Drosophila melanogaster: one gene and its partner. The protein of the gene in region 1 interacts with the protein of each later gene in a pairwise test. Each region holds a gene or a part of one and is shown on either strand. Other genes may lie near its edges.

Region 1 (15,565 bases):
CGCCCAAAATAATATGACATAACTCAGCCGAGAGCTGTTGGGTCCCCTAATAAATAATCAGCCACGGCAATCGCTTCAAGTTCGTCTTTGACTTGCCGCACGTAACCGCAATTCCGATATTTTCCAACCGCTCAGATTTTATATGTATGCACATACATATGTGCATGTAGAATTGGAAGACAACGTCATCGACCAAATAAACTTGGAGATTTGCATTGGGCGCAGGCGCCAGCGGCTACGTCAACATTTAAAACACGTACTCGACCGGCAATTGGAACTCAGGCAGTAGACTGAAGTGATGTCATGCCGCTCAAATTTATTTTACTTCACTCGACGGCGGGGTGTCCTAGCCTATCTGACACTATCAGATCGTACACTTAAAGAAAATAGGAGACCTTGTTTTTTGGCACACGAAATCAATATAATATATAATAAAACAATATAATATAATAACGTATCAAAAAAATACATTTTTAAAGAAAGTGGAGGGAAAGAATATGAACCACCACGAAAATTAATAAACTAAGATTATTTCATTAAAATATTGTTTTATTTGTTATGACATGAAAACAAGTCATTTTTCATTTCACATTACATATTGACGACATTTTTTTTTTTATAAATTTCGATATTGCGGATATGTAGTTCATTTTTCAGTGCACATATAATTCCAATTCAGCGATGATGTAAATTCTGCTAAGTCGATCATCGCTTTTAAGATCGTTTCTTCAATGATATGCCTTGTTTTGTGTGCCCACTTCATTGACATAAAAATGTCACTTGTAGTATTTTCGTTCTGCGTACAAATATTTTCAATTAAATGTTTTCAAGTTCAAACCCCCCAAAAGTGAACAAACCAAAAAATGCGAGCGAGCTAATAATTGTGAAAATTAAGGCTGGCAAAACAAACAAATATTGCGGAACTTTGCTTTCAGAGTCCTTTCTACTGTATCTGGTTTGGGGTAAATTGTTTTAGCGATGTTATCCGAGTGTCCGGCCAACAAGTTGACCATTTAGGTGCCCATTGTTGTCCGTGCCTCTTGTCTTCCTTCTACGCTCGACCCCAAACACGCAAAACCGCCTCATTTGCCTCGTGTAGCAGAAGCTGCAGCTTGTTTGCAGCACTTCGGCTGGGAGCCCACAAATTTGTCGACGCGTGTCGTGACACACACTTGACACTGCCTCCTACGCACTTCCCCTGGAATGGCTTCTCCTCCTTCATGGCTGTGTAATTGCCTTTAATGCAGGCACACTCAGAGGAAAAGGGGTTTTTCCCAAATGTTCCCAAATGAGTTGTTGCCATAGCCAACATCTAGAATATGGATGGAGTATAGCACTTAAAGTACTATATATTGTTCAATGTATTAAAATTCGAAATCATTTCTAGTGTTTTTTCTGTATGTGCCTGCCTTTCGTTATCGACGCAAGCATTTCTGTGCCAAGTTAGCTTCCAGTTGCCTCCCGCTGGCCGAAATTCCAGCAGGACCTAGGTCCTAGTGCTGGTCTTGGTTTTGGTTCCAACTTGGTTTTGGTTATGTTTCTGGTCCTCTGGTTCTCGTGTCCTGCTTGTTCTTTCTGTTCTTGGCTTCGTGTCAACGATAAATCAAAAGTTTTATCTTGTTTGTTGGCCACCACCCACATCTCGCATCCACATGAGTTGCCTTGAAATCACTTTGAGGCTGAAAAATTGTTGCTTCGCTTTTGGTTTTTGTGCGTGTGCTGCAGAAATTTTGCGATTTCTCGCAGATTGGGGTAGGTGGACTTGCATGGTGCTGCTGGGTCTAATCGCATTATGGAAAGTTAGTTTATGGTCTGGCTAATGCTGGACCCATCACGTATACGCAGTGTTGACAATGGCTGGCCAAGTGGAAATTTTCCCGCCTATTTACTGAATTGTTGAAATTGCACAGGACATGGTTTCTTTTCACAAGTCAGGCGGCAGGACATGCATGCAAAATGATTTCCGTTTGACTGTAATTTATAGGCAACCGGTCTGCTGCACTCGTTGCTCACCATTCAACTTCGCCACATTGAATCCCCAGAACTACCATAAAACACCCCCTAAAAGCCCCTGCCCATTTAACCATCATCCTTGGCATCCCGGCCAGCTGCTGCATCATCATATCCCATCCTATTCCATTCTACGGATGCCTTTTGTTGACTTTACGGCTATGCAAAGTCTGGCATATTTATAGATTGAGTGGCAGCGTGGGCGGAGAGTGGGCGTGGCATTAGCTTTTTTTTTTACTAATGGCCCGACAGATGATGATGCTCTCGACACCAATCGGCCAGCCGCTTTTGTCGCTTTTTAATCTATATTTAAATTTTTCCAGCACGAAATGTCAAGGCGAGCCATTTGGAATCGCCACAAAAATCAAACAAATCAAACTCGATATCTGAAAATCAAATTACGTTCTCATAGGCAGCGCCACGTATATGGTCAAAAGCAAAAAAATATAAGTAAATACAGAAAACTTTGACACAGCAAATGGCATGCAAATTGATTCTGGTCGTAAAATAGAGGAATGAGTTAGAATCTCTGCTGACTAAGCTATACATAGGTGTGTTTTCAATCCACGGGAGGAATTGAATCATCTGCAATTTGACTCACACGGGTTTTTCTACCAACACAGTTTGCTACGTATGTCTGTGACTTTGAAACAAATTGTTCAAATATTGCCCAAGTATCAATATTGATCGTGTGGCATTAGGTAAATTGTGTCTCTAAGGCCACAAAAGTGCCATTGGAAATTATTACGTATGCGCCATGTGAGAGGGCATAAACTTTTCCATTTTGCACTCTTATTAATTTATATGCCACTCCATCGTCTTATCGCTAACTTATTGTGGTAAATGCAGTTGCAACTCCCTTTTCAATAAAAAATGCACACGGCGATAGTGCCCAATGGAATCAGCATAAATAAATGCTGGAAATGGGTCTCCGATCGAAGGCGATGTGTGGAAATAAATATAAATAAGTGTAAATGAAAACCGTCTACGAGAGGCACATATTTATATATATGCGCCTGGCATTGCGCAAAATGTGCGGTGAGTATTGACAAGAGGGCCAGGAGGTGTAACCAAATTGGAGTGGGCGGGTTTTGGTGGCACAAATTGCATTAGCCAAATGAACTGGAGAAATGGCATCCATATCGAGTTGACAGTTGAATTATATGCATGCATTTCCCCAGTGATATTTATAATACAATTGCCTTGCACATTTGTAAGTGGGAATTCATTGAAGAAGTGAAATTTGTGTTCGAGAAATAACTGAAGATGAAAGGATTGTTTATGAGAATTACACCTAATCAGGTTAGTCTATGATAGTATATAATCATAGACTAAGATTAAAGATGTCGCATTTAATTGACAGATTTTCTTGTTTCTTAACCCAATAAAGTCAATTAAACAAACAAAGTTAAAAGTTAAATACATCTAGTACAATTACCTATTGGTTAAGACGTCCTCAAGAGTCCTTTGCAACCGAATCGGCGAATCTGCAATACAAAACACAGCAATAATCAATAAATGCTCTCGATGCAAAAAGGAAATATGCAGATTACTTTCACGAGATTTCCTTTGCCGTAACATTGTCTCAATCGACGCACAAAATGCAAACCATTCGGAGCAAAGCATTTTGACATTTCGAGAGGCGAATAATAATCCAAAACTCCTCGATTCGAGCCACTCGGCGTCAAAAAAATAATAATTGCAACGGAATTTATGGCGGATCACAGCCACTTGAATATGTCAGGATTTCCCCATTTGCCCCACTATGTGCTATATGCCGAGCTACCCCCACTATTCTATCCATCCCTTTGATCAGGCAGTTCTTTCATAATTTCAGCAACTGCATTCTGGGGCTTTGTTTGTTTATCTTCGTTGGCTTCGACGTTGTCTGTCAGCTGAAAATGTTTATTTTGTCGACATACGATACAGAAAGTTGTAAGAAACTTCTTCGCACACAGCCAAAATCCCCTTCGAAATTTCTACGTTTTAGCCAAAAATTCTGACGATGCTGGATCTGAAGCTCTTCACTAATGTCGAACTGCGTAATTATGCTGGGAAGGTTTCTAGTTTTCAGCACATATTTTGCATTTTTGTGTGGTTTCTGGAACGGATGAGCGCAAAGTAGTAGATGGGGAACCTGAAACTGCATAAATTTGCCGCCAGCTTTGAAAAGTTGATTTGAATTTAAATCGAATCGAAATCGGGTCAGACGCTTGCCTCGTTTCGGGAAAAGACAATTGAATTATTAAATGTGCCACGAGTTTCGCAAACCGCTTTTAATTCCCAATTTTGCACATGTAGCCTCACTAGAATTGATAATTTATTAAATTCCGTTCGACATAATTCGCCTTTTGTTTCGCCAATAAATTTCAATTTGGTCAAACCAAAAATGAAAAACAGGCGTAGCCTCCAAATTGTGTCAATTGAGAGTAATAAAGTCATTTCGATTGCTATCTTCGCGTTTGCTTTCATTTCAGATATAAAGATATACCAACCTGGTCTATGATTAGTTGGGCCGTGCCGAACATGAAAACATGAAAATGAGTCTGGCTGCAAAATTACTTTGTCAACTTCATAAAAGGCTAAATTGCAACATTGTCTGTTTGACTATCCCAATCTCTTCTATTCGATTTGCATAGCCACGTTTAGTAAAGTACAAGGAAACGTTGTCAGAGTTGGGTTGGGAGTTGGGAAAATGCAAACAACTTTTATTTGTGTAAAAGTTTTTCAACTGACAAATGTCGAAGTGCAAAGAAGTCAACTATAGAACTTGCAAAGTGCAAGTGGCCTAATAATAGCCGAAGTACAAATAGAGACTAAAACTAGTTCTTGTTCAAGTGGGTTTTCAAAGATTAAATCTGCCGAAGACAGGTTATAAAATATAATATATATATTTTTTTAAATTCAACTACTCTTTTATTAGCAAAACTACAACGAAACCCGACCAAAAAATGATTTCCACAGTTTTGAACTTCTCGCAATGAGTACTTGAAAAATTCCAGAAACCCAACCGAGTGTAAAAACTTTTATGGGTTACACAAAAATCAGTGAGAGGCTCGAGCAAATATGGTTATAACCTAATTTAAGTCATTCCAAAAGCTGTTTTTTAGGTTGATAAGATAAGAGGGCGATTTATCAAAATTTGCTCACTGATTCCGTCACTAGTTGCACATGGCCCATTTGTAAGTATTTAAAGATTGCTGTTAACCGATGTCCCCATTCCCACTCCAAGTATCGAAAATGCATGCTGAATGTAGCACCTGTTGGTCATCCAAACTCGTTTCCCCTTTGCGATATAATAACTTACAATAATTGTTATTGTTAGTGCCGTAGTCAATGTACAATTTAACACAACTTGACGGGTTGACGAACGCGCTTTGTGTCTTTGGTAAATTGGCTTCCGTAGGCTGACTGCTGGCCATTGATCAAAATCAAATGTGGCCCAAACCGTTCGCCATCTGGCTTTAATTACGCAATTTGGCATTGATTGTGCCATTAGCGATTTGTTTGGCCGGCAAAAAGTCGTGCGAATGCCTGATTTTGATTGTCTTCGATCCAGGAGATTGTAAAGAGGCCTTAACTAAGTGCTCATTATCTTAAAAAAAAAAAGATAGCCAATCAGTGATAATTTACATTCTTTTGTCCTTTTTTCGCTTGAATTTAGGAAAATTAGGAGATGGTTTTCTTTCAAAATAATTTTATTTAGTTATTTGACTTTCTACTAAACTCTGCAATCATGAAGATTTCATTTTTTAAATAGTTGTATTTAGTTAATTGAATTTCTATTAAACTCTGTAATCCTGAATATTTCATTTTTGAAAACTGTAATTTGCAAAGGTAACTAGTTCAGCTAGTTCCGTTGACCTCTAATCCGTTTATTTCGGGACGTGGCTCAACCTGTCGAAAAGTTCCCTCATTGGCCTGCCATAAAGATTATGCCGCCCTCCGTCAAGTGATTGCTTTGAGGCAACAGTTCTCCAGAAGATCGTGCCACAAGCTCAATGAAATCCAGACAGTTTCTCGCCTAGATGCATTTGGCCTGCGTGGGCCTAACGGTCCAGCAAAAGTGCATCTGCGATGAGGAACGAGGCGATGGATGAAGGAACCGGGTCCCGATATCTCAATAGATTTATCTGCGCCTCGGAAACTGGAACAATTTGTGGTGCTTTGTACTCCAAACCAGCCGACGCGGCAATTTGCACCGGGCCTTTGGTCACAGACTTCCCTAGCAATCGCAATCGACTGCTCAATCAATTGGCTGCCAGTTTGTCCAACTGTCGTTCGTCTTTCTGTTTGCCGATTTGAGCTGTAAGCTTATCGAATTAATCGTTTGAATTAGCCCAAGACAGCTCAATTTGCGCCGACTGCACTTCCCCTATGTGCATATGTATATGTACTTGTATACAAATACTCCGCTGTTTGAATCTTGGCTGGTGGTGGCTAAATTGCAGCAATTATTATGTTTGTCGTCTGGGCAAACAACCTGCAAATCGCTCGTCGTCGTCATGTCGGGATGTGCTCCTCATTCTTGTTAATTAAGAATGAATTTATGCGACAATGGGCGCAACCGCAGTTGCGGTAAATCAAAAAAAAAAAAAAAAAATAGTGCATAAAAAGCCGATTGCTTTTAATCTTTGCAACAGAGAAAAAAATTGTATTTTAATCATAAAGCGCTTCTTGAAATCATAGCTATCATACACTATCAAAGGACGTTTATCGTAGAGTAAAAGCGTATTCTAGACTATATACCACTAAATATCCGTTTCAAAATATGTATTTAATATGTTGTAGACCTGATCAGAATTACTAGGCCGGACAATCAAACCATGTCGGATTGTCCGTCCGCATAAACATGGAGATCTTAGGAACTATACAAGATTGAAAGTTAAGAAAGTAAAGCACGCAGATTCTACTAACATTGACGCACAGGAAGCTTGAACAAGATTTCCACGCCTAGTTTACCGCCCACTAACCGCACAAAACTGTCACGCCCGCAATTTTGAAACATGTTTTTATTTTTAATTTTATTATATGTCGAAAATATTTTTGCCACGCCCACTCCTAGGTCAAAAAACCACTTGAAACTGTCACCAGGCGAAATATTCATATTTATTTCTATTTATTTTTTCATTTTCTTTTTTATTTTTCAGTTCCATTAGCTAAGCAACGAGTATCTAAAGTTTTTGTAACGCAATTTGAAAACTATATATATATTTGAATACTTAACGTTAACGACTTGGAACTTTATTATCTTTTATTGTATTATTTATAAACAACAAGTTGTCAGTTTTCAATTGAGCAGAGATTTTTTTTCTCTGTGGTCCGTAAACGGTAGCGCTTGGAGGCAAAAACATTAGATCCCAGATAAATACGGGCGAGTTCATTGTACAAATGTCAGCCACGGAACGCCCACAATGCACGACCGCCAACATAATCCCCATCATCTACATCATCATGATGGGATCGTAAAAATATAAAGTGGAGAAAAGTGGTGGGGATATGATGGGGGAGGGACTCTGGAAGGAGGTACAATTTGTTCAATTGCAGCAGCCTCTTGGGCGTCGCAAACGCGAATCTGTCTGCATCTAAAGTAGTTTTTCCACTCTGACACAGTGACCTCGTGCTTGGATTTTTCCATTTCCCCCCAGTTTTCCGTTCTCCATTCTCTTTTCGCACCATTTGTTGTTGTTGTTGTTGTTGTTGTTGTTGTTGTTCGGCTTATGACTGATTATAGCTCACGTTTTGGCTAGTCTATGACGGAGTCTGGAGAATTTGTCATCAGACAAACAATGGCTCCCACTTTGGTTTTCTTGGAACCCATTCATTCATTCATACGGCTGTAAATATTTGCATAACTCATTAGGAGAGATGCTTAAGATACGAGTCTCTATACGCCGAGTCGTTTGCAGTAGGTCGCGATCGCAAAAGGCGAAAATATTATAATTTATTTATATATTATTATAAATATATTAGTTTTAGGGGAGTGGTGCGGACAGTTCCCAATCGGTATTTAGCTGCTGGTCTTTAGTGCTCAGCCTTTTGGAAAGATTGTGTAAACAGTTTAGGCTGTTATGCTATAAACTGTTATACGGAAACATATATGCAAATTTTTGGAAATTTGAAAATTAGAAAAGAACATGGATTCCTTGAAATATAATTAAAATATTACATAAACACTTCAGATGTTTAATAAAAATGACTTTGGCAATCCTAAAGCAAATAAATCAAATGTCAATTAGTTATCGTCGATAAACTTAAGGCCCGGCCAGTCCGTGACACTTCGTTTTAACAGTCAGTCGAATCGAGTGATTTGCCCAAAAATGAATACCTACGACGAAGTCTTGGCAACAGTGCTGGACAATTTGCTGGCATCCAAGAACTGTGAGGTGGTCGACGACGTACTGCGTCAGTCGATGCTGGAACTTTTGCGTGGCAGTAAGTAGCTAGAAGAAAATTCGTACCATGTCAATGGTATTGTTAATCAATGTGTTCCTCGAGAATTCCGTGAGATTGCACGTCAGACTACCAATTGGTCCAATCACGCTGGTCGCTGTGCACCCAGCTACTTCGATCTGGAGCGCACCTTCATCCGGATGAACATCAAGGTGGGCGAGCTAAAGGCCATGTACGAGGGTCAACCGGATTCGTTGGTCTTGGTTGAGTGCAATGCACCGGAGACACAAGACCAGGACTTCCACAGTGTGCCGCAACCCGTGCTGAGCTCCACAAAGGCCGTGGAATTGGCCTCCACCACGTATATTCCGGACCATTTGCCACCATTTCCAGGGGCGCACACCTATAAGAGTTCGACCATTGAGAAGGTTACGGATCGCAGCTATGTGGCCATGAGGAATCGCCATGCCGAGAATGAGCTGAACACCCAAAACGCCTTAAATCAATACTACCTGAGGTGCAACCCCAATATATCGCTGTTCGAAGAAACCCAACGCGATGGAAGTGGCCACGTTTTGGATCTAGGTCCACCCAAGAAACTTCCTTATTCGGACGCCCTGATGCCAAGAAATCAGGTCTTTGATACGGACATCTATGCTCCCATCGAGGTGATAACCCACAAAGGTATTTAATTACTATACATACCCAGTAATATTGGTGCATAAAACGCTTTTACACAGCCATTATATGACATTTTACGTAAGACAGGGCAGAGACAGGCCCTAGAGTTTAAGTCTGGAAAACTGATTTTCCTTAAATCCCGCGGACTAAAACGGACGTATTTTGTGAAATAACTTAGAGACTGCACTGAGTAACCAAAGTGGAACATTTAATACTTTTGATCGCTTTTGCCTGACCAAGCTTATTTCATTGCGCAGCCATCACTTTCACATGGTCCTAACAACTTTGATCCCGACAGCCCTCGACTGCCGTTACTTGGAGAAGCCCAAGTTGCACAGTTCACGCCCATCCTCAGGAAATTTCGAAGAGGAAGACGTGGAAATGGAGGAGCCCTGCAGTCCAGGGGGACTAGGTATTGAAAAACCGAATTAAACTGCAGCTCAGTAAGAGGTGAAAAGCACACGAAATGTTTCCATTGCCAGACCAAGCTACTCCACGGAATAAAGTGTGAAAAAATTAATTTATTTCAATTACATTTCATTAAACACTGCCACACGTTGCGATGATGCTGCGAGAGTTCGAAGGAGCAAGAGGTCCTGCGCCTGCTGTAGCAGCAGATGCTCCTCCTGCTGCTTCTGGCGAACGCCTGCGATTCCAAAGTATTAAATAACTTTGTAATTTAATTAACTTTGACGTCGGCATCGCATCGTCTGCTCTGCGACGCTTAACTTTGATTAACGTTTGCAATTTTTCAACAACTTTCGACCGAACTTTCTCGCCATCGAGCGGGCGACACTGCGTCCAAAGCGTCCGTAGCCAAAGGATTGTGACTGTGATTTCTTCGCCTGGCTGGGATTACAAGGGATTTGCCTCCTCCTCTTATCTTCCGCTAAAGGGCACTACCCTTAGTTGCTTGAAATTTTATCTGACGATTGGAAGGGTTAAGATTCAGGGGGGAATATTGAATGCAATTAGAGATGCTGGGTGATGTTTGGATGGGGTGGAACCTCCCTGGATGACAAGCTAATAATCCCGGGGAACGAGCACAATCACTTGGAAAACTAATTACAGGGGAAGAGTCGTGGCAATAATCAATAAGTAGAGCCACTGCCGATTTTTACATTCCGATAGGTATAACCATTCAAGAGTTATATGTCAACTTGTTGTTGGTAGTTAAAGACCTACCAGTTTTTCCATAACATTTATGTCCCTTTTTTATAACACGCTAAATATTTATTGACTGCTATTGCAATATACATTTTATATGTTTAAAATACCTGTTTTCTAATTATATATTCCATTGAGCGTTGAGCAAAAACGTTTGTGTGTTATTTGTTTTAGCCAGAATAAATCAAGTCATAAGAGCTTTGCCAGTTAAATTTGGATCTAAAAATGTATTCAATAAATAAGTCTAATGAGCTGGAAACATGACGCACTTGCTCCACATTTCCGAGACGCTGGCCCTTTTCTGCCCATCATTAGCCTCATCATTTAGTCATCAGCTTCGGATTGGTCTCCATGTTTTTCGCCGACGACGATGATGGTTTTATTTGGCACAGGCAACATCAGAATTTTACGCCCAATTTGACTTTGATATTGTGCCAGGGTCGGGGTGGGTCAGTTTTCTTTTGTGGGGCCAGAGATCAGACAGCTGGCAATCGCCGGCTGCTTGCAGCCCGCTTTTCACTTGCCAAATTTTCCGAGTTTTTCTGGCTTCTCGGACTGCTGTTGTTACTGTGCCATTTAAATGCATAAACATAAACATGAGCAACAACGGTACACAAATTTGTGAACGACCGATAAAAATAAAATTACATTTATGTGGGAAAACATGTCTGAAAGAAAGAAAGAGAAGCCATGTCGAGAAAGGCCAACAAAAATGTGCTGCTTTTTTTTTGTAGCCGTTCCCAATTGCGTTTGTCATTTTAACCCAGTTAACCCATGTTAGCCAATGTGCATTTATCTATGCATAAAAACCAGCAATGTATTTGTTGTGATTTCCATTGGCCACAAAATTGCTTTGGCATCTTTGTTTATTTTGCGGTCTACAGATAAAATTCAATTCAACATGAAAACGAGAATGAAAATTATGGCTGCTTTGATTAATATTTTGCTATTCTATGTTTTCAGATCTTTGTGAGGCCACAGGAAAGATGGTATTTTAGGATGATACATTTATTACTTGCCACTGGAAAAATATATTGCTCTACATAAGAAAGCACTTTTAGAATTAACCTATTCGTATTCTATTCTAATTACTGATTGACCGATATTTTGTTACTATCATTGTTTTTAAGTTGCTGCAAAGAATACGCTTTCACTATTTTCTTAGATCCCGAGAAAATCTCAACCACTTCTAATGGAAATTCGAATTTGGTTTTTATTTTTCATAATAGCACCCGGTTTTCGCTGTGCATGCATGCGGATAAACCTTTTTGACCTCAGGGCATATAGTTTCTGATTTATTTATGCTAGTTGATAAAAATGTGGCCGGGCAAAAAGCGGATATCCTAACGAACGGAGAAGGTCGTGTGGCGATGGCAAAAAGGCGAGTTCTGTCAAAAGTTCACATTTTCATTTCCGTTCGCGGGCTCTTCTCTGCGTGTGTGTAAGTGTGTGCAAGTTTCGATTCGTTTCGAGTGAGTGTGTGTGTGTGTGTGTTTCGACCATGTTATCTTGTTTACTTGTGCAGCCCCTCGACGCATAGGAGGCCACAACAACAACAGACAGTACCAGCAACGACATAACAGCCATAACAACAAAAGCCAATTTTTCATAAATCTTTTTTCACAGCCCTACAAGCGACTGTCGTTGAATTTTTACAGCTGCATTTAACCTTTTTCTCTTGGCATTCGCTTTAAATTTGATGCCCGTGTGTGCCATAAAAATGCTTCTTGCTCGCATATTGCTCATACGCACCGCTGCCTGCGCTGCGAAACCAAACAAATTGCTACCTCGTTATAATTATGATGTTTTTTTGCGCCTAAACAAGGGGGAGTTTCGTTAGGCTCTCTTAAGCAAATCAATTCAAGTTCACGCTTCTTATTTATTTACGCGCTTGCTTTTATTTTCATGTTTTTTTTTTCTCCTTTAAGCGAAGCGTGTGTGAAAATGTACTTTCCACTGCCTTTTTCTCGGTCTCACTTTCTTTTGCATTGCGGTTTCAGTCATTTCTTCGACTTGCTACGGCCTTATTTGATTTTTATTATCAAGCGGCTTAGGGAAAAAAAAAACTTTTTTTCACGTGTTTTATTTTCTTGCTCTTGCTGGGCATCTTTTCTTCTCTTGCGGCTTGTGTTATTTATGTCGTCTGCTTTTTGACACACATACTCGGGAATATGGAGTTGGGAGGAGGAAAAGCGAAGGAAATATGGAAAAAGTGCCAGTAAATCGCTCTTGGTTCGTGTTTAGCATGAGAATGCGCCCTTGCCTCGTTTGGGAATTACAAATTTCTGCGGCCCAAAGCCACTGCGGAACCTCATCCACTGTCAGGGACCTTCTCGAAAACTTTAACTTGGAATATTTATATGACGGGTGGCGAAAAAAAGAACTCATATTCAGCGATGAATACAGTTTCAAAGAAACTGTACGGATCTGGGCCACTTACTTATTACAAATGTTTTGTTTCACTTGTAAAAAAAAAGGTGGGAATTCTCTGTAACATTACATTACATTACATTCTCTTGAAGCAAATTACACAATGTTATTATATAAAAGTGACCTATAAAAATGTGACCAAAAGGCCCAAAAACCAATAAAAGTAAAAATTTTAAAAGCCAGCATATTTATCATACCTACCAATTTTCATCAAATGACTTCTCTGAAAAATAGTTTGCCAAACAGCAGCCGAAATAGAAGAACTGTGCGAACCGAAGCCACATCCCTTTTGGCCCATTTGTACGTGTTGTTAGCACGTTCTGTTGCTTTATGGCCGCTTTATTATGTAGCCAGGCCACTAGGGAAACTCACTTCCTTTTCTGGCCAGCTTTTCCCCCTTATCCCCCTTTCACGACTTTTCCGACTTTCCCGCTTTTGTGCGTGTGTGCTACGCGTTTGTTACTCGATATTATGGCGGCTATATAAAGACAAGTGTATACGCGATTATATTTTTAGCATCGCTCTACGTGCGTAACGTGTTAAAAATAAAGCAAATTGCGTATACGCCATGCCTGCTCTTCTATTTCGAAATGTGCTGCAGCCACGCCCCCGTTTCGGCTTAATTAAATTGATTGAATTTGATTGCGCCAGTGCCAACTTGCCAAAGAGGATGCAATTACATCTTCATCTGCCTGGTTCACCTGTCGATTTCGCCTCTCTCACAACAGGCAATTATGCAAATTTTTTTTGGCCCTCGCTCACGGCGCTCATGGTGCAAAAGGCAGCAATTTCGGCGAAAATGCATTTCGAATTGAATTAATATACCTTGTCTGCTGGAAAGGAAGAGCAGAGGAGCCCCCTGCTGCCCCGCTCGCCCAGTCATTGGCAAATGAAAATGTTTTGCGAATACCTAATGTGTTTATAATGCCAGAAACGTGCCAGCGTGCAGATATTTTAGCATGTCAAAGTAGCGAATGGTAGCGAATGCAAGTCTCCTACAGATATATCTTCTTGGCCCGACTTCCGTCGGGAGCCTGTCTCATTAGCCTGTCTTTATGCTGTTTATGCATTCTAAACAGTTTCACCCAGCCACAAACCGAAAGATATGTACTCTGATGTCTGGCACTCCGTGGCAATGAAAGCAAGTTCATTTGCCACGCAAAAAGTGGCTGGAAATCATTTCATAATCACAACAAAGTTGACTCAAAAGCCATAAGCGGCAAGCTGTCTGGAACAATGTCGGAGCTGCCGAACAATGACAGTGCCCTACTATGGTACCATACAAAGTGTATAATGAATATAATGGCTAAGCAGCCCTGAATGGGGCATGCTACGAACAGCAAGGGCGCAGAAGGCGCAGGCGCAGCTTTTCGCGCATCTCGGATTTCCCGCTCGAGGGTCACCCAAGTGTTCCACTTCAGGTGGCAAGCTGAATTTCCGCAATCTGCCAAATCGGTTTCTTATTGTGTCAGGAGCAGAAAGACAGCCTGCCCAAGCCACGAATTACTTCAGAAGATTTATAGCGGTAAGTAGTAGGAGCAGTAATCAGAGGCGATGTTTGAAATTATTTTAGAGGGGTTTCGGAAAAACGTAATTTTTCATTTCAGATCAATGTAACTTGAAACCCGCTTATTATTCTATGTGTTTATTATAAATATTAAGGGTTTCCTTAAAAGCTTGCTAGGTTGTGGCCAGTTTTGGGTCTAGAACAATTAGATGTCAGCATTCTTAATCAAGTTTCCCAGAGAATAAATAATGTCAATGATGTAATGTTCAATAAAATAATTCCTGTTATAAAATCTCAGGGGATTTGGCTGTTTTGGGACCCCCCTGAGTTGGCCCCTGCGATCTGAGTCTTTAATGGCTCGATGCTATCTTAAATGTTTATCGCAGACGATGCTCCGTTGGCTCCATGCTCCCGTCTCTTTCTGCCGCCTTCGGCCCACTCGCTCCCTCTCTAATCAATTTGAAATGGTTTCGTGGAGTTCGTGGCGGTCGGATTCAGTGCGGCTCTTATCAGCATTTGGCAATCTTTCTTTGAAATATTTTCCATATGGCTGCCGCTTTATCTTGTCAAGACTAGGCCCGCCAAAGCAACAACCATAACCAGAATACAAAACAACATCAACAGGGAGGCCTGTCATCGGCATGAAAATAATGCCAGCAACAGGTCATAAATTTGAATCATTTAAAAATATCCGCAAACACATCCATTGAACGGACAGTTTCCAAGTGGAAAATGCATTTCGGGTCAGCACAAACTTTCATTTCTAAAATGGAGAAAGGTTGGGGAAACTCTGGGGACGGAGGATTAGTTGATGCAATCGATTCACAAGACGATGGAATGACTGCCAAGTGCATTCTGTATTCTTTGCATAATTTTAAAAGTTGGAGAAAATCAAAGCACCAATCTTTATATTTTTGTGTGGCAACAAATAAAAAGTATTAAAAGCTTGAACAAAAAAATTAGGTAGTTAAATAAATACATACTATGTATATTTTCAGTCTTGTTGCTGAAACATTTAATTGACTTCCTAACATAAAGACCAGTGCTTTCCGTAAAGGTGGTCAGAGCTTTAAAGTATTTCATTCAAAATGTATGAAATTAAACAAAAAGTGTATTAAATATTTTGCGTGAATGCTTTAAAATGTTGTTTTTTTTTTGTAAAAAGGGGAAAACTTTGGATGCATTGCATTCAACTTATTTTATTGTTACTCTCAAAACAATTCCCCAAGTCTCCCAGACAGTTGACTAGTTGAGCCAGCACCTCTCAATGAAGCACTAATCTCCAGCCACCTCCACCAGGCACCACCCACTACCACTCAATACCACCCACTACCACCCACTACCACCCACTACCACCCACTTCCACCCATTTGTTGC
Region 2 (16,841 bases), on another chromosome or scaffold:
TTAGGTTCAAACATAAAATAGAACAGAAGGTAAGTGATTACGACACTGAGATCAAACCAACAAGAACACGCACTCCACCACGGCGGGCCAATGGCCCAGTAAAGCTGGCGCGGATGGGGAACAGGCCCTGCCCCTCCGATTACCACTACTTACATGTCCGAATTTGTGGTACATCAGAAAGCTCTCAGCCGACTGGGCCACCTCGTCGCTCTTCCAGCTAATGAACTGCAATGAAGTGGAGAAGGCAGAACAATTAGTGGAGTCCAGGAAATAAACAATATATTAATAAAAAATAGGTGTGCATTTTAAATTAGAATGGCTTTGAACAACACTGCGTATGAGTAACGTCTTTACGCCGCTGTACAAATGGTAAGAATCATGTACGAGGTACACGGAAGTTTCTTATATTTTGTATTCATATATTTAGATATGTTCTATTAATACTCAATTTAAGCAATTTAACTTTACTATCAAGACTCTACATAATATTAATCTAATATTAAATCTTTGTATTCACAACTTTGAACACTAACATTTAAGTTATATTGCATTTAAGAAAGAAGCCTTAAGAAACCCTTGCTTAAACGTTATCATGTTTGCTAAGAAAACCTAATGGCCCGAATTCTTGGCAGCCAATTTCAGGAAGCACGAACAAAAGAGCTTAGTCGCTCTCATTTACCTTGTTCTTGAAGGACTGCACTACACTGGCGGCGCTGCCAGTCGCGTTGATCAGGATGAGGCCCAGCACCCGGCTGGGATGGGCCAGTCCGAAGCGGGCCAGGACATTGGCTCCGGCACCCTCGCCTAGGCCGATCACGTACTTTACGTGCAGGTAGTCCAGCACGGTGACCAGGTCCTCGCCCAGGGACTGGAGCGAGGGAAACGGAAAGCCGTCAGCCAGGGCCTCCGCGTTGTCCGCGTGCCCCGGCACGTCCACGTGGATGAAGCAGGAGCGCTCCTTGATCTCCGTCATGCAGGGACTGCTCACGAACTCCTGGAATGAGTTGTCTGGGGACATGACCAGGATTAGTCAATTAGTCCAACCGGGAGCTACTACTACTTACGGTTGCAGCCCAGGTCGTGAACCGTTATGAACACGGCGCGTTTCTCCTGCTGTGACAGGTCGCCCTAAATCACAAGAAAATCACAAGAATGGAGTGTAGAGGTTAAGGTGATGCTCCTTGAAGAGGACACGGTCCGAACCCAACTCACCTGCACTATGACCGTCAGATCCCCGCATTTCTCTGTGCTGATATTGTATTTCTGCAAGAGTAATCGAAGGTAATCGAAATTGTGAATAAATTGAAGTGTGTGTCCGGAATGCGGTTATTTGTTAGAGGGAAACTTGAAAACTTCGAAAAAAGGCAAAATCATTTTCACGTTGCCATAAACACAAACTCAAGCGTGAAAAATGACGGGCATGAAATGACCAAAAAATGTGAAATGTTTTTCTCTGCATTTGACTTTGTGAGCGCTTGCTTTTGGCAGGTCCTTGATGTCCTGGCAGCCACCTTGTGTCCCTGGCCCGCAAATATCAAGCCCATACTCCTCGTCCTGCCCTGTGTAAATTTGGATTCGAATTTGAATTTGAATTCCTCGCCCAGGCATGGTGAATATGTGCGTGTGCATTTCATAAATACCCACCCACTCGTGCAACGCAATTCGAAATTTAAGGAAAACCCACCAAACTGTTGAATATTTTAAAGCTCAGGGGTATTTTTAGCCTTAAAAACTCTGTTCTAAACTGAATTCCATGCTCTATTGACCGAATTCAATTTGAAGTTTAGGAATTTTAAAGTGCCTGGGTTAGCTAACAACAAACATGACCTTTCTTTTGGGTGGTTCATGTATTATTTAAGCTTAAGTCATACTTTTCCATGCGGACGGAATAATAAGTAGTGACGAAGCACACATCTTGTTTAAGCCCAATGCTCCGTTTAGATATTCCAAAAATATGATACCATTAAGATCTAGGTCAAAATGGCAGGTTTTAACAGGTCGATATAAAAAGTAGTTTTATTACTTTTGGAAAAACATCGAGATCTCTATGTCCATACGAACAACTAGATAGCCTTGTCCAGATCGACTCGGATACCTGATCAAGAATAGATATATAAATTTTATCAGCTTGGAAACGGTTTTTCCTACCTTCACTTTTTATTAACAAACAACTTTGATAGGTATATTATTTATTAATTAGCCACTTTAAATTCTTGCGTGCTCGAATTAAATAAGAGCTATTATTCAGCTTGTACTTTAATCTTGCGTTAAGCTCAAAGTATCGATTTGTGTAACTCAAGCTGTGTGTGAAAGGTGCTATTTTAAAGGTTGCTATTTTGATGTTTAATGAAAGAAGAGCTTAGCTTCTGCTCTGTTCGAGGTTCTTTATTTGAATAATCAAAGTGTGCTGAAGTTGGGTTCAGCTAACCCGCACATACATTGCTTATATCTATGCATTCTTACTTACATTTATACATATACATATGTATGCAGAAGGCATTGACCACTTGAGCGGCAAAGTGCATGCTCAGCATTCCCACGCTCCGCGATCGGCTTATGTATAAGCGTTAGATCGTATTACTGGGGCGCTGGAGTGCTTACGTAGTTTTTGGTGGTCTTTTTTGTATATTTGTATATTTATATTTATTATGACAAAGTGTCACAATGTATTGACGCTATGTTATACCCAATCATTTATGGTATTTTTAGGGTAGATTAGTCCAATATGCTACATGTGGAGGACCCCATCACAAAATGTTCGATTTGCGGAGGGAAGTGTATTGTGTTTGGCCTATCACTTTCAGGCGCCTCTGCCTTGCCAGAGCCCATTTCGGAATTTATTAAGGCGTAAAGCAAATAAGCCTGCGAAGCACCTCGAATTGATACGGGAGCATCGGCAGTCTCCTTTGTCCTGCGAGTCCTGGGCATGCCAACCCACACGAAGCCGCCAGGTTCGAATAGCACAACCATGGCACGTCCATCGAACACTTATTGAAATTGAGCGAAACTATACAAGTGTCAAAAGACCAACAGGGCCAAGAACCTCTTCCGGCCAAGAATTTTCCTAAGCCCCTTAATGTCCATTTGGTTTAAGCGAAAGCTTCAGACCACCCGCTCATTTGGGGGTGCTGTGCAAGCCAGTAAATAGATAAATAAACGGAATGGGTATTATGTAAATGCATTTGTGAGTCGTCGTTTCACCTGCGGCCATGCCAATAAAAAGTTTTCCATTCAAATTAGGCGCATAAATAAATCACTCAAATTGGCTATTTATGTAACTGCGCTCCGTTTACCAGCTGACAGAGCTAATCTTTCCGCCCAAGGACAATGCAAAATGCAAAGCCAGGATGCAGCTGGCTGCATCGCACGCGAATCCATCGACAAGCTGGGGAGGATTGGCCACCGTGCTTGGATAAGGCGACTGCATAATGGACAATAAACAAGCAGACGGCTTGCTCCCCGTCACGAATCAATTGGCATTAATTGAGTGTGAGTGGGTTGGTCAGGACGGGGGAACGTAAGGATTGGACTCATGTTTCTGCCAAGGACAAAGCAGAGCGCAATGGGAACCTTTCCCGCTTTAAAAAATAATCGTGCTAACTTTTATTGATTGGAAAAAACATCTCATGAGCAGAGCAGCATCCTATAGTCGAGGAATTCGACTTCCGAACTGTGTACAATTCACATCGTAAAGTATATCTCGAGGGCGTGGGAAATTTATTTACTTGATGCATTCCACGAATGACTGCGACAAAGTGTTGACAATTGGTGACGAAGACGAAGAGGAGGAACTGGGAGCCAGGACCTGGGCAATTGCAGGGATACTGACGAACTAACGATGAGGCAAGTGTAGCCTTTTGTGCACCTGTCCGTCCATCAGAGTGTTCAAATATAGTATATATATACATGCCATGGAAAACGCTTATAAATAATGAAATTGCCAATAAATGGCACGCCCTCAACACAAAGTGAAAGTGGAAAGTGGAAAGGTGGGCGGAGTTGCGATTGGGATTGGGATTGGGTTTGGACGGATCTGGATGGTGCCACCTGTGACGAACTGCATGGCTGCTTGGCTGGCTGCACTTTACGACCTTCCGAAGCCCATCCATTTACCTTCCCCCAGCGGAATCCTTGACATTTGACCTCACTTATATCCCATGGATCACGGATGACGGATGTAGTGCGGTTGGCTCCGGCAGAATTTTCACTCACTAACAGTCGAATGCCTTTGATACTCTGACGTACACCCAGCAAAATGAAACTTTAAAGAATGATGTGTGGTATGTATGTATGTAAATTCCAAGGCTGAAGACTTTATACTTTGAAATTCTTCTTCAGATTCCTTGATTTTCAAAGAAACGTAATGAGCATATATACATGTTTTCTGTCTAATTAAATAATACCGATAAAAGTATGGGGTTATAGCGTTCTTTTATACCAAAAAACACGTGGTTCGATCAGTCCAATCAGTCCGACTTTCGTAGGCCAACGATATGGGATAAAGTTGATGCGACAGCCAACTGAAGTTTTTATTCACTCTCGAGTTTTTTCTTTTCAATTGAAAGGCGAAAATGTTTACTCGTTTTGCGTCAGAAAAACTTTTTGGCCGCTTGCATGTGGCTCTTGGCATTGCCAGAGTCATCAGTCAATTAAAAAGTCATTTGGCTCAATCGTTTGATTTACGTGAAAAAGTCTAGCTCGCCCGCCCTTCCTCCGGTTTTCAGTCTGCGCTCGTCGCACTTTAATTGACTTGTGATTGGGTCAATACTTGCACTCTGCCTTGTTTTTGCTGCCATGTGCATCTGGATTCTTAATTGAGACACACGACTATATAGTTGTCATGTCTTTGACTAGATTTTCCTGTGACGGAAACACGTATGTATGAGAGATGATGTTGACTTTCAAGGAACAAGTTGGGGTCAGTTCTTCAATTGGCAACAGTCATCAGCTAGCTAATGAATTCGTATTTTTGAGGTAAGCAATTTTAATACCCGTTACTGGTAAAGACACTATAAAGTTCATATAATCTTGAGAAAGATTGTCAGTCCGTATGTCTGTCCGTATAAACTTCTAGATCTCGGGAACCAATAAATCCAGAAAGTTGACGACTACGCTGTGTAAGTTGTTCCAAAATCTTGCCACTCCCATTCTCACCGCCCAAAAATAGTTTTTTTTTGTAGAACATCAATACTTTGAAATGCTCTACAATGTCAGTCGAGGTATTCTTTAAACCGCACACACAAGAATGTATTTTCCCGTTGCCAAATAACCTACTTGTTTGCCATCAACAAAATAGAGCAGTACAATTTTGCGAGACACGAATTGCATTTTCATGTCCGCAAAGTTTGGTTTTCATTATGAGCATTTTCCGGGCATCTGTTTGAATATCACTAGCAGATGCAGATATATGCGTTTCAGTTTTGCATCGTAGAAGGAAACCGTATGTGAAGTGTGCCCAAAACGATGTCCTGAATGCCTGGAAAACATGCATAAAACTGTATCACTTGCTCTCCGCAGGATAACAAAAGCGAATGGGGTCCTTCCAGAAGTGTGGGTGAGTGGGTGGAAGTCCTCCAAAGCTGAGGCGCTGCCCCAAGCCAAAGCTGAATGCTGCAGCTTGCCGGGATGTCGCTGTACTGAACTCATTGACCTCCTTGCTGTTGCTTTTCCGTGTTGCCATAGCTCTTGGTCGCTCATGTATCTCCTCCACATCCTCGTATCGCTTTTTTCCTGCCGGCTGACTGCGCTTTCACGTTGCCGTTCAGCCTCGATCCCGATTCTTGATTCCTGTGAACCCGTGAACCCAAACCCGTGCCCCCTCGGCAATCCCATTTGCCCCGATTCCCCTCTAATGTCGCAGTCATGTGGCAGCGACCTAAGTGCCCATTACACACGGCAGCCCCGTATCCATCATATCAAAACGCTTCCTATCCCTTCCCTTCCCAGGACTCACATCCTTGTGTTAGCGTTTGCAGGAGCCGTCATTCCGTCGGGTTCAGTCTGCAGGATTGCTGATGGATTTCACAGTTGACGGCTTGATGCCTGATACACTCTGTTCCGCAAAACGATGTGTGGTTTTTAAGCTTATTTTGAAATTTCTCCCTCGCACTCCCATTATTTCAGAATGGGGTATCTAACCTTACATTTAATAAGATTGAGTACATATTTGTGTGATTACATTAAAATTCGTTTGAATATTGATCTATTATCTTCTGACTGTTTCTAATCTGCTAAACGAATCAGAAATATCCTTTGAGCTGCTCCAAGAGCAAAAACGAAAGGCAAACAACAAACGTTTGCCAATTACAATATATTTTATCCAAGAACGAGAAAACTTGCTGTAGCCAGAAGTTGTCATCTGGTTGCTTGTTCAAAAAATCGTTAAACGCAAGTCGAAAAGTTTGTAAGATTGAAATGGCTAAAAGTTCGCACCTCAGCACTCCATCCATCAGCATGCAGGCTAAATGTCTTGTGCTTGTTTAATTGCCCATCAGAGGTATACACCATCATTGGAAACTAGTGTTTCGCCAGCCAGGTGGATATAGGTCACCATTTATCTCTGATCCCCCACTGCCCACCACACGGCTCATCAGGGTTTCAACTCATCAGCGTGGATCGGGTAAAACAAAGCCGGGACCTAGTTAAGGACTCTCGAGAGAGAGCCAAGTCTGCTGCAGAAGTATTCGCCACTTGAACAGAAAGTTTATTTAACAAAGTGCCTGCCATTGAATTAAGGCCACAGGCCCGTCCTCCGGAACCCAATCCCCTATTTTCTCCGCTAATCAGCATTTTCCTCGCCGGACACGCCTAACTCAATCGGTGGGACTGCTCCCCGGGCTTAATTTATTGCATTCGCATTCCTTCAGTCCGTTTCCCAGTTTGTTGATGGGCGGACGGACAGAAGGTCCAGGTCCCGTCTTGGCCACTTCATTTTGGCCAAAAGCGAATTCAAGTGTAAATGGATTTTGTCTAATAACCGCACTTGCACCGTAGCACTTTGGGGATGCCCCCAACGCCCCAAAATCCCCAGCTCTGAGGATTTTATTGGTATTTGGTTAAGTGCTGTCATGTGTCGTCCTGGGGGTGGATTGCCCACATAGATATGCCTCCTTCTCGCCCGGCTCATTCTGTTGATGCTATTCCTCACTTTTTGCCGTCCTTTTCCTGGCCAGCATGCGTAATGGTAATGTAGATTTAATTATCGGATATGGGCCGCCTCTGGTCCCTCGTACTTGTGCCATTTCCGAGTTCATTCTATTAACAACGCATTAATCTCAATTAATATTCCGAATACCCAGTGGCGGGCGAAATGTTTCAATTAGCAATTGCCTGGATTGAATTCTGCAGGTGCATTGTGCAGGCCACATAATTGATATGATATTTAATTTCCCAGCTGATTTGGCACAGCAAATCCTGCTAATGTACACAAATTCGAGTCTGTATCCATAGTAATCATCGGTGGACTGTGCCATTGTGCAGTGCATTATAATTGGGACATAGTTACATATTTATTCTGCCCTAGTAGTCCGATTCAAAGATTGGTGGCAGGTGGATTTTCGGAGACTAAAACATTCAGTTGCCATATGTAGATGTGAACCATTTAATGGCTCTTCTAGACCAAGTAGAATTTGCCTATCTAGTTGAAATGCAATTAAATCCAGAGCGAAAAGTCACAGTCAGCATTTTGGAATTGGAATCGTTTTGACTTCTCGTGCAGGACCTTTTTGCCAGGCATTATCTAAGAGGAGCACAAGTTGGCCGCACTTTGACGTATACTTGATGGGATTTTTATGCCCCGACACTTTTCCAACAGCCTGCGGATGCCGTTATGAGGGCGGTGAAAATCTGGGTAAAAGTGTTTGAATTTATGGAAAACCTTGCAGGGGGAGGGGTGGGGGTCGGTTGCATAAAGGCAAAAGCCCCCAAGTGATGCGAAAAGTTGTGCAAACAAAATTCCAGCACACTTTTCTGGCGAAGCGACCGCATTGCCAGGGAATTTTTAATAGACACAAACAAATCACGCGGGCATGTAGGCCGGTGCTTAAAGCCACCAATTAAATGTTCTTTAAGTTTGCGCCCGCAGCCGCAGGGGGCAACGGGGCGTATGAGCAACCTTGCCTTGCAAACTTTGACACTTTGCCGGTGGCAAAGTTCTTACGCCACCGTTTCCCACTCACTTAACAATGCATAGAGGAAAAAATATGAAAAAAAAATTGAAATAAAAGGAGAAACGCGTGTTTTTCGATGCCTTCGAAGTCAACAAGTTTTCGTCTTGTGGACAGGGGACACGCCAGATGCTCCGGCGAAAACAAACTCGGAGGATGAAGAAACTTGGCTGGGCGGAACAAAGAACGCAAACTTGACCGAAAAGGACTTATATCCTGAAGTGTGAGTGTGGGCCAGCACAAATTATGGGAAGTTTCTTCAAGGCGGCCAATGGAAGACCCGCGGGCAGAATGTCGAAGGAAAATGGAAAAAGTCGTGGGAATAGTGGTATAGGTCTGGCCCGGTCTGCAGTATCATGTATAATGCATACCCCTATATGGACAGCCGACTCCCCATTATGCTTTTCCCTAGTTAAATTCCATCGCATTCAGATTCCGCTTGAGGGGATGAGCGAGCCCTGCGGAAAACTGGGAAACAAAGCGAGTCGGACAGGAATACAGCCATATATCGCAGAGATTTACTCCAGCAAAGCCCTTTAGTCAGCATATTTGGATTGAGATTGCAATGCAGGACAAGAGGGTGTGCACCATGTGGTCGGGGTGGAAGTGGCGCAGCTCACATTGTGGTCAGGATTTAATGAGCTCAGTCGAAAAGGAAAATGGGGAAATTATGAGCCAGCCACGAGGGCCAAAAGCGAATAAGTGAAAAAATGCTACATAGCAAATATTTATAAAGATTTAATTTTTATATTCCAGTTATTAGTTTTCTCCGCAAATTATCAAATAACATGTAGCATTTCAACAATAAATTAACCATATTTCAATGAAGTGGGTGCATTCACTTTAACTTTCAACTTGGATATGTTCCTTTATTTCCGTTTAGAGTCCGCACCACTTTGTCGCCATATAATTAGCTGCCTAATAAAAGAGGGAAATAGCAGGCCAATAAGACCGAACGAACACCATAATTTTGCCCATTTGAGCACCTAGATTCGTTTTGGCCCACTCTACGCAGTTGCTGTGTGCCAGATGCGACCGCAAATGGCACGTAAAAAGAAACATGCAGTTCCAGGCTAATGGTTGAGTCGCCCCCATTCCAATAGCCACATCAACAGGACCACACAAAGAGTCGCACAAACAACGACATGCAGAACGACAATTATGCAATTTTTATGAGGCGCAAGACAGAAAGTATGCTATGCCCTTTGAGCCCAGTTCACTGGGCACCGAGGGCCAAAAAAATAAAAAGCAAACAGCACCCAACTACAAAAGGTAACCCCGTGCCAAAAGGGGAATTCGAGGTCACCAGCATATGTTTCTACAATATATTCTGTATTCTGTTTTCTCTATTCGATCGCGGTGGCTTAGTCTGGCTTAGCATTTCGCGCTCACCTTTTTTAATTGAAGGAAGTAAAGGGGATGAATTTTAGGTAGACTAATTCCACAAAGCCCTCGAACTGTCACGAAATTAGTTGATTACATTTTCAACACCTTACGTTTTTTTGATAGTATAATTTTCCATTTACGTGCTATTTAGCCCTTTTCATGTGGAAGAAAAACTAATAGCTTTTTCGTGGTACAAGTGCTCAGAAATATTTCATAATTTCTTAATTTAGGTAGGTTTTTAAATATTATTCAGAACAACTTGGTCTTATAGCAAACTAATTCACTCGTCTGCAATTTCATCACTAATTTCCGTGCAAATATTTATCCCGACTTTTTTGAAAGATTATACCACTCAGACACTTGAGATGTTAACAGAAGTAGTCGCTCGCACTTGCAGCTCGGCGTGTTACGAATATTACGTATACGCACAGAGAGAATTCTAGAAAAGCGCATTAACGCACTTGACGGACGGGAGTGATGTGGAACATGATATTATGGTGTTCTGATGCTCTGCATCCCAAATCAGCCAGGATGCACTTTTCGAAAAGCTGTCCTCCTGGCGGTAAACTGCTATGTCGGAACTCACGCTAATCTTCTCGGGGGCAGCAGCTGCTGAGGATGAGCCGGCGCCGTGCTTGGGGGTTCCCGGCTTCGACATGGTGTGGGATTCGGGCGACGGTAGCTTCACTTCACTGGGTTGCTCAAAGGAACTGCGGGACACACAAGCGTGGCTCGAACGGGGCTCTATCAGGCGCACAGCAGCACTCGAGGATGGAAACCGAAATCGGATGCGAATCGGGCGGAACCGCGTTTCTGAACGAATGCGCAATCTTCGAACGCCTGGCGACGACTGGGAAAACTGGCTTATCATGGGAAAATGCTACGCCATCGCCATCGCCGGCGTGAAAAGCCGATCTTTTCCGAGGCGAAACGAAGCTGAGCGAAACGGGGAGCAAAACAAACTGATGATGAGTGAAATGGCCAAGTGAAATCGCCTTCTGCCCACTCGCTCCCCCTCTACCGTTGTCTCTCTCGCTCTCGCAGTGATGCTGCCGGGGAAAAAGAGGCGGTTGGGGGTGGGCCAAGTGTTGAAATGTTGCCGTAGGGCAGTTTGTTGGGAAGGTGTTGCACAGAGCGTGGCCAGATGGTTGCCCACCAACTACGCATTACGAAATTCGACTCCCAACTGAGTTTTGTGTTGAAAAGTATTAAATTTATATCACATTTATATCACATTTAGATATTGTGTTTCTGGTCCTTTGACTTTGTATGCGTCAATAGTAGTTTCTGGAATCTTCAATGCATTACGATTACTTAAAATATGCATCTAGACAAATATGCTACCTATAAAACCTAGCTAAATACAGCTTATGAACTATTTATTTGTTTGTGGTGTAATTTTATAGTATTTTTAGCTTTGGCAAAGAGTGATTCTAGATACCAACCAGAAAATATAAATATTTCTCATTCTCATTTGTTTACGTCAAGCAATCCCAAATATTTCAATTACCTCTAAAGAACGTAATTGCAGTTTAAAATTCAAGGGAACATTCACATATACGTTTCTTTCCATCTGGCAACGCTCGCACTGCAACATGCACGCACACACGCGCACCTACAGCTTCTGCCGAGAAAATTCCGTTGCCTACTTTTGGGCGCGCTTAGTTTGGCGCCCACTCACGTTCGTCGCTGTAAGAGTGTGTGTGTGTGTTTCTGCTGGCCTGCGTTTGTGTGGGTGTCTTGCGTGGGTTTATGTAAAAATCCTTTTTGTCTTACTTTGTTTTCGGTGGCATTGTTGAGCAGACTCTTTATTGTCGGCGGGCTCTCGCCTTTGCAGCCCTTCTTCTCTTGTTGCTCTAAGCCTTTTTGGCCTTTTTGTTTTGATGTGCTAATTTGTCAGCGCGCGGGAAATGCGCAAATCCGTCTCCCCGGACGACCCGGGCACCCCAATTCCGCCCACTTCTCTGGCGAAATGCGCATTAGAAATATGCGTGTCCTAGGTCAAGCCGGCTGCGGTTATGCCACGAGGGGCTGTGCCTGTGGGTGGGGGCGTGGCCGCCGGGTCGAAATTTCTGATATGGATATGGAAAAAGGGTCACAGAGCATAGGTGCAGAGGTGCGGTGCGGCCGGTACGGTGATATGATGGAATGGATTACTATTATGTGCTGACATCGAAGGCCATCCCCTTCGCAACTACCGATGATGCAGCTCGAAAATGCTGGCTGGCCAAAGTGAAAGTAATTTAAAGTTGGATGAGAAAAGCGCAAAATGTTGAAGCCAATTAGGGGTAAACCAAAAATATTGGATGAACTGAAGGCTTGGATACTTGATACTCCATGCGATTTTAAATTCTTTCGATTTACAAGAGCACAGAAAGAAAAACCGTTGAAGATATTTTAAAAATTTCAAAAGGTTGTTTCATTTCAGTTAAATGAACCATATTAAATGTATGTTTTACGAGAGCAATTCGCTGATCTTCTCAAAATTTGCATGCATTTCCGCCAAGGCCATAAGCAGATATGTGTCATAATTTTTTGTGTTTCAATTTCGACACGTGCTTTAATTAAACAAATGGGGATGATGATGATGACTGAAAGCGCATAAAGCCGCCAGTCAGACAAAGGAATTAAGCAAAAGGCGGGCGAAGGAACAGCGCTGCATGCACATAAACGACGAGCAACGAACAAACACCATTGTCAGCCACAATTATCCAGGCAGGTGCTTCGAACCCACAACAAAATCCGCCAAGGAGGTGGATTTATGGGCGGGCAGGCGTTGGCCCAGGAAGGTGAATGGGCACCTGGGGAATATACGCCTTTTTCGAGCGGTTAGCGGATGATGTGGGTGTGGCAAACAATGGCTGAATGGGATCCCAGTGGAGAGCGGGGAGGGGGGTGGTGCTAAAACTAGGGTGGCTGCAATTGATAGTGTGTAAGCCGATTGCTCAAGGCGGCAAAAGCTGCGGAGCATGGGTTCAGGCGGATCCAAGTAGTTGGCTGAGTAGCTGGGTAACTGGGTAGCTGGGTAGCTGGGTAGCTGGGTAGCTGGGTATCTGAGTATCTGGGGAGTTGGCAAAGCGCAAATATCCCATTTATGTCAATTCGCAAAGTTAAGCGTGAAAGTAGGAACTCAACTTCAAGGTTTTCCCCCAAACAGACGCTAAATTCCAAGAGATAAACAACGACTTGTCGGCAGTCAGCGAAACAGGAAGCAATGGCTCTTGGTAAACAAATCCAATCAATTTTTTCGGTGCCTTTGGTGCCTTGGAGCTTGGGCAAAAGCCATCATAGGGGTTCTGTTCTTCAATGGGTTAAAATATAAAAACAAACTCAAGCACTTTGTGTAAATTGTCGAGCCAAAAAGGGAATATAAGCACATGAATTTTGATACACAATTTATTCTTATATCGTATTTTACTAATTAGACTAATGGAAAAGACCTAACGTTTTGAATTTGGATATATTTGGATATATTAAAGAGCCCACTAAATATTTGCAACAGTTTAAATCCCGTCCTACATTTACAGGAGCATCCTGTTCCCCCTTGGAACCACCCGCACCAGCAGGATCAGCCCGGAACACTTAAGCCCAAATGGCAACACAAACACACGTCCTGGAAAAACCAACAGCCGAAGGATGACAACGGCGACACTTGAGCAAATGCGTTTGCCGAATCTTCCTTTATGCCTCCTGCCTCCTGCCACGCCCCTTGAGCCGCGCCCCTGCCCTGCAAAGTGGCAGGCAATCTTCGGAAATTCCTCCGCAACGATATAATGTATACGCTCGATATTTACGCATTTATTTATGCCGCTCTTTATTGGCTTTTTATCGTTCATTTATTTTGCTCGTTATGTTCGCGTCGTCGTAGTCGCGAACTCACGCCACCCAACTTATTTGCCCAGCTATTTTTGGACTCACGAGCGGAACGATAGGAGTGTACACGACATGGAATAAATGCATGCGTTGGCCCAGCGGACGGAGGATGGGGGGAAGATGGGCATGGCTTATGCGAACATCGATCATCCGCCAGTGAAAGGTCGTTCGAATGGAATGCAAATGAAGCTTTGGTCACCGAAATTCCCGCGCTGATTGATAAGCGCCATCATCAGCATCATTACCGCCATTATCATCCGCTTCCACTCGTCCCAAATTGATATGCAAAGTGTAAGCAAAGTCCGTGTTACTAACACCTGGTCCCGAATCCCCCACCACCACTGCGCCCTCTTGGCAGGCGAATCACCTAGCTCGGGTTCCACCCTCCGCCACCCTCCACCTTCCATTCCGAACCGAAATTTAATTAACATTTTTAATTCCTCCACTTGGCGCGGCCAAAGAAAGCCCTTCCACCACTTTCCTTGGCGGAGGGGGGGGGGGTATATTATTAATAGATTCAGCTAAAAAAAAAACAGTCTAATTAGAAGCTTAGTCGTTCCACAAACGAGGATCTAATGTCTCTTTCCTGAGGAGAAAGTGAGTTTAAACACAAAATGGGTATTCAAATTTGAAATCAAATACTTAGCAATATACTTAGATGTTTTGAGAAATCAATTTAAAATCAATCAGTATATGGTAACTAATTTTATTAAAGCAGCATAAAAAGCCATGCATTTATGATATCACAAGATATAATTAAAATAGGCTTATGGTGTTTAACCTCATATCAAATGTATGTACACAATAAAATGAATATTCTTTCAAAAGTGTCACTTTAATTCGTTTTTATTTCCCATTCATTGCCTTTAGACCACCCAATTTCTCTCTCTTTACTCTTGGTATTCGATGTATGGATGTGCAGAAATCATTTTGAAATGGATCGTCTGTCCAATGAACCCGGTCTTTCCAGTGAGTGTGCCGTGCCCTGGTCAGTCCGCTCACTTAAAGCTGCAGTGTGGATGCCATTATATGGACGTCTTTCCCTACTCCCATGCAACTCTTTGCCTTCTTCCCATTGCCCCCGACTGTCTTCACTTCTCCCAACCGCTGACAAATTCGCTTGGGGCTACTCTGCTAAAATTCCATTGAGTCCCCATACAATCCCATACAGAAGCATAAGCACTGCCACTGCTACATCCACGATGACCGCGCAGTTTTGGGGGCTATTTGCATGGGGACACCTATTTTTAGCTAGACAGTGGAGCAATGACTCTTTTATGCCCCGCGAGTGCGAATATGCCATTGGTAGCAAGCCGAACTGATTTTGATCGTTCTTGTGCCCTATAAGGATCAGGATCATCCAATCTAGGTTTCTTTAATACTAAAGAGCTGTATGCTCCGTGGTGACCTGTGCCACCTACGAGTATAGCCTTAGTTTGTTCTGCCGGCCAAAAGGCCATTCCAACTACTGAAGAACATACATACTCGTACATGGATTTGAGACCACCGAGAGCTGCCCTTCAGAAACACACACACATTTGTGCGGCGGGTGTAACCATGCCCATAGGAGGCAATCGGTCTTGTGATAGGGAACACTTCCGACGACCTTGATCCGAGCACAATTTGGCCCCACTCATTAAGGCGATGTGCACAACGTACGCGAGTGTTTCAGATTAATTAAAGCAGTCGGGCCAAGCCAAACAGCGTCACCATCAGCCGAGAAATACCGACTGGCTGTCTGAGCCCCGCCACCCACGGCCATTGGTACCTAATCAGATATGTATGTATATCGATGCTACTGGGAATTTGACTGTGCCTGGGACTGTTGTTTCTACTGGGAAAGTGTCATGGCATGGGTGAAACACATTTAACGCCTCGAGCCATAAATTACGAGCCGTGCCAGCAGCAGTGCTGACAACATAAATCTGAATTAGTGGCAAGCGGGGCAGCAAGCAACAAACAAAACCGAGTATCGATCTCACGATCCGTGGTCACTTAATGCCGGTACCTCGTAAATGGTATTCATAACTCTCACCCGCTCCACCAGGGATTCGGCGCGGCGCGCGAAGGAGGCGCGTTTATCGGCAATGGACATGGTTGGACTGGGGCTCTGGATGCGGTTCAGGATCGGTGACTGGGACTGGGCTATCCGGAAGATACTGGGAACCGACAAGTCACGCGGGGGTGTAGGTATCACCGGGGAACGCAGCTGAAATGAAAAGAGGCAGAACTTTAAACAGGCTGTTATCTATCTAAGGCACACGATCGATATGGTTTTAAGTCTGTAATAACTAAGCAAATATCGCACGGCACACGCTAAGTCGAATCATATGCAAATACAGTGGACATCAACAAGACCCAATACCAATACCAAATACTAGTTGCTAGTGCAAGTACAATCTATGCAGGAGCCATCTTGCTAGCCGAATTCCTTTTATTTCTATTCTTAGGGTTAACCAATTGGTTTATAGTTCATATAGCATTATTTGCCAAAAAAAAAAAATATATATATATATAATGGCAACATTCGAGGTGGAGGTCCCGGCCCCAAAAGTCATGAAATCTGCCGCGTATGTGTTTTCATTTTTGGCGAAAACAAAGAAAGACTCGGCGATGAAATGCAATTAATATGCAAGTGCCACTCATTGTGATGGTACTATTCTGGTCTATTACCTTATGGACCGAATCGCAATTATGGCGCAACTTCAACTTTGGACTCGAAAGTGTCAGCCACCGAGCTCAGCATAAATATTCGAGCGGAAATTATCAACAACTGACATTAAAATCGGAGCGGGAAAGACGCGACTTTCGGCCGGAGACGATCGCATGCGATGAAAACGCGTCCAAGTCGGAGGAATACCGCCGTAGAACTGATGACACACCCGGGCCGAATGCTCGACTTTTGTAGCGTAGCGAGCATAAAGAGAGTGCGTTGAAATGGGAAATTCATTATTTTATTTTTAAACGTCGTCGCCCTCTCTATTTTCGCAGATTGGCTTTTCCTCGCTTGTTTCTTGTTTCGTGGCAGATTGATTTATGGATTTCGGTGCAACAGGTGCTGGCCAGTTGACAGAGCGCCGAAAGTCCGCCGGACACACCCACTGCTTCCAATCTGGAAAACTGATTGGGACACAAAGCTGCATCCAATTTGCATAATCCCATCAAAGAGCACTTGCACCCAATTATGATAATTTCGGCTTGACGCACTAGGCATTATTGGCTTCGAAAAATTGGAACTGCAGTTCAAATTCAAAAACAAGGTACGGAGAAACTAAAACAAGAGGGAACGCTACAGGCGAGTTCCCCGACTATTAGATACTCCTTTCTCTGCTAGTGAAAGTTCAAACATGAATTTCAACATTTTCTGACATAGCAATAAAACTAAATTAATCTCTCTTATATATGTAGTTCCTGAGA

The links.
Region 2: the proteins of sa (region 1) and CG2082 interact in a two-hybrid assay, tested with the Drosophila melanogaster proteins (one large-scale study listed by BioGRID).

What each region holds. Positions count from the first base shown.
Region 1 is NT_037436.4:21,399,462-21,415,026, reverse strand, and holds sa (spermatocyte arrest), read left to right. Parts: upstream 1-8,288; 5' UTR 8,289-8,330; coding exon 8,331-8,445; intron 8,446-8,508; coding exon 8,509-9,087; intron 9,088-9,382; coding exon 9,383-9,516; 3' UTR 9,517-9,602; downstream 9,603-15,565.
Region 2 is NT_033777.3:5,761,493-5,778,333, forward strand, and holds the start of CG2082 (uncharacterized protein), read right to left. Parts: upstream 10,407-16,841; 5' UTR 10,210-10,406; coding exon 10,138-10,209; intron 1,264-10,137; coding exon 1,213-1,263; intron 1,129-1,212; coding exon 1,065-1,128; intron 1,009-1,064; coding exon 680-1,008; intron 226-679; coding exon 154-225; intron 1-153.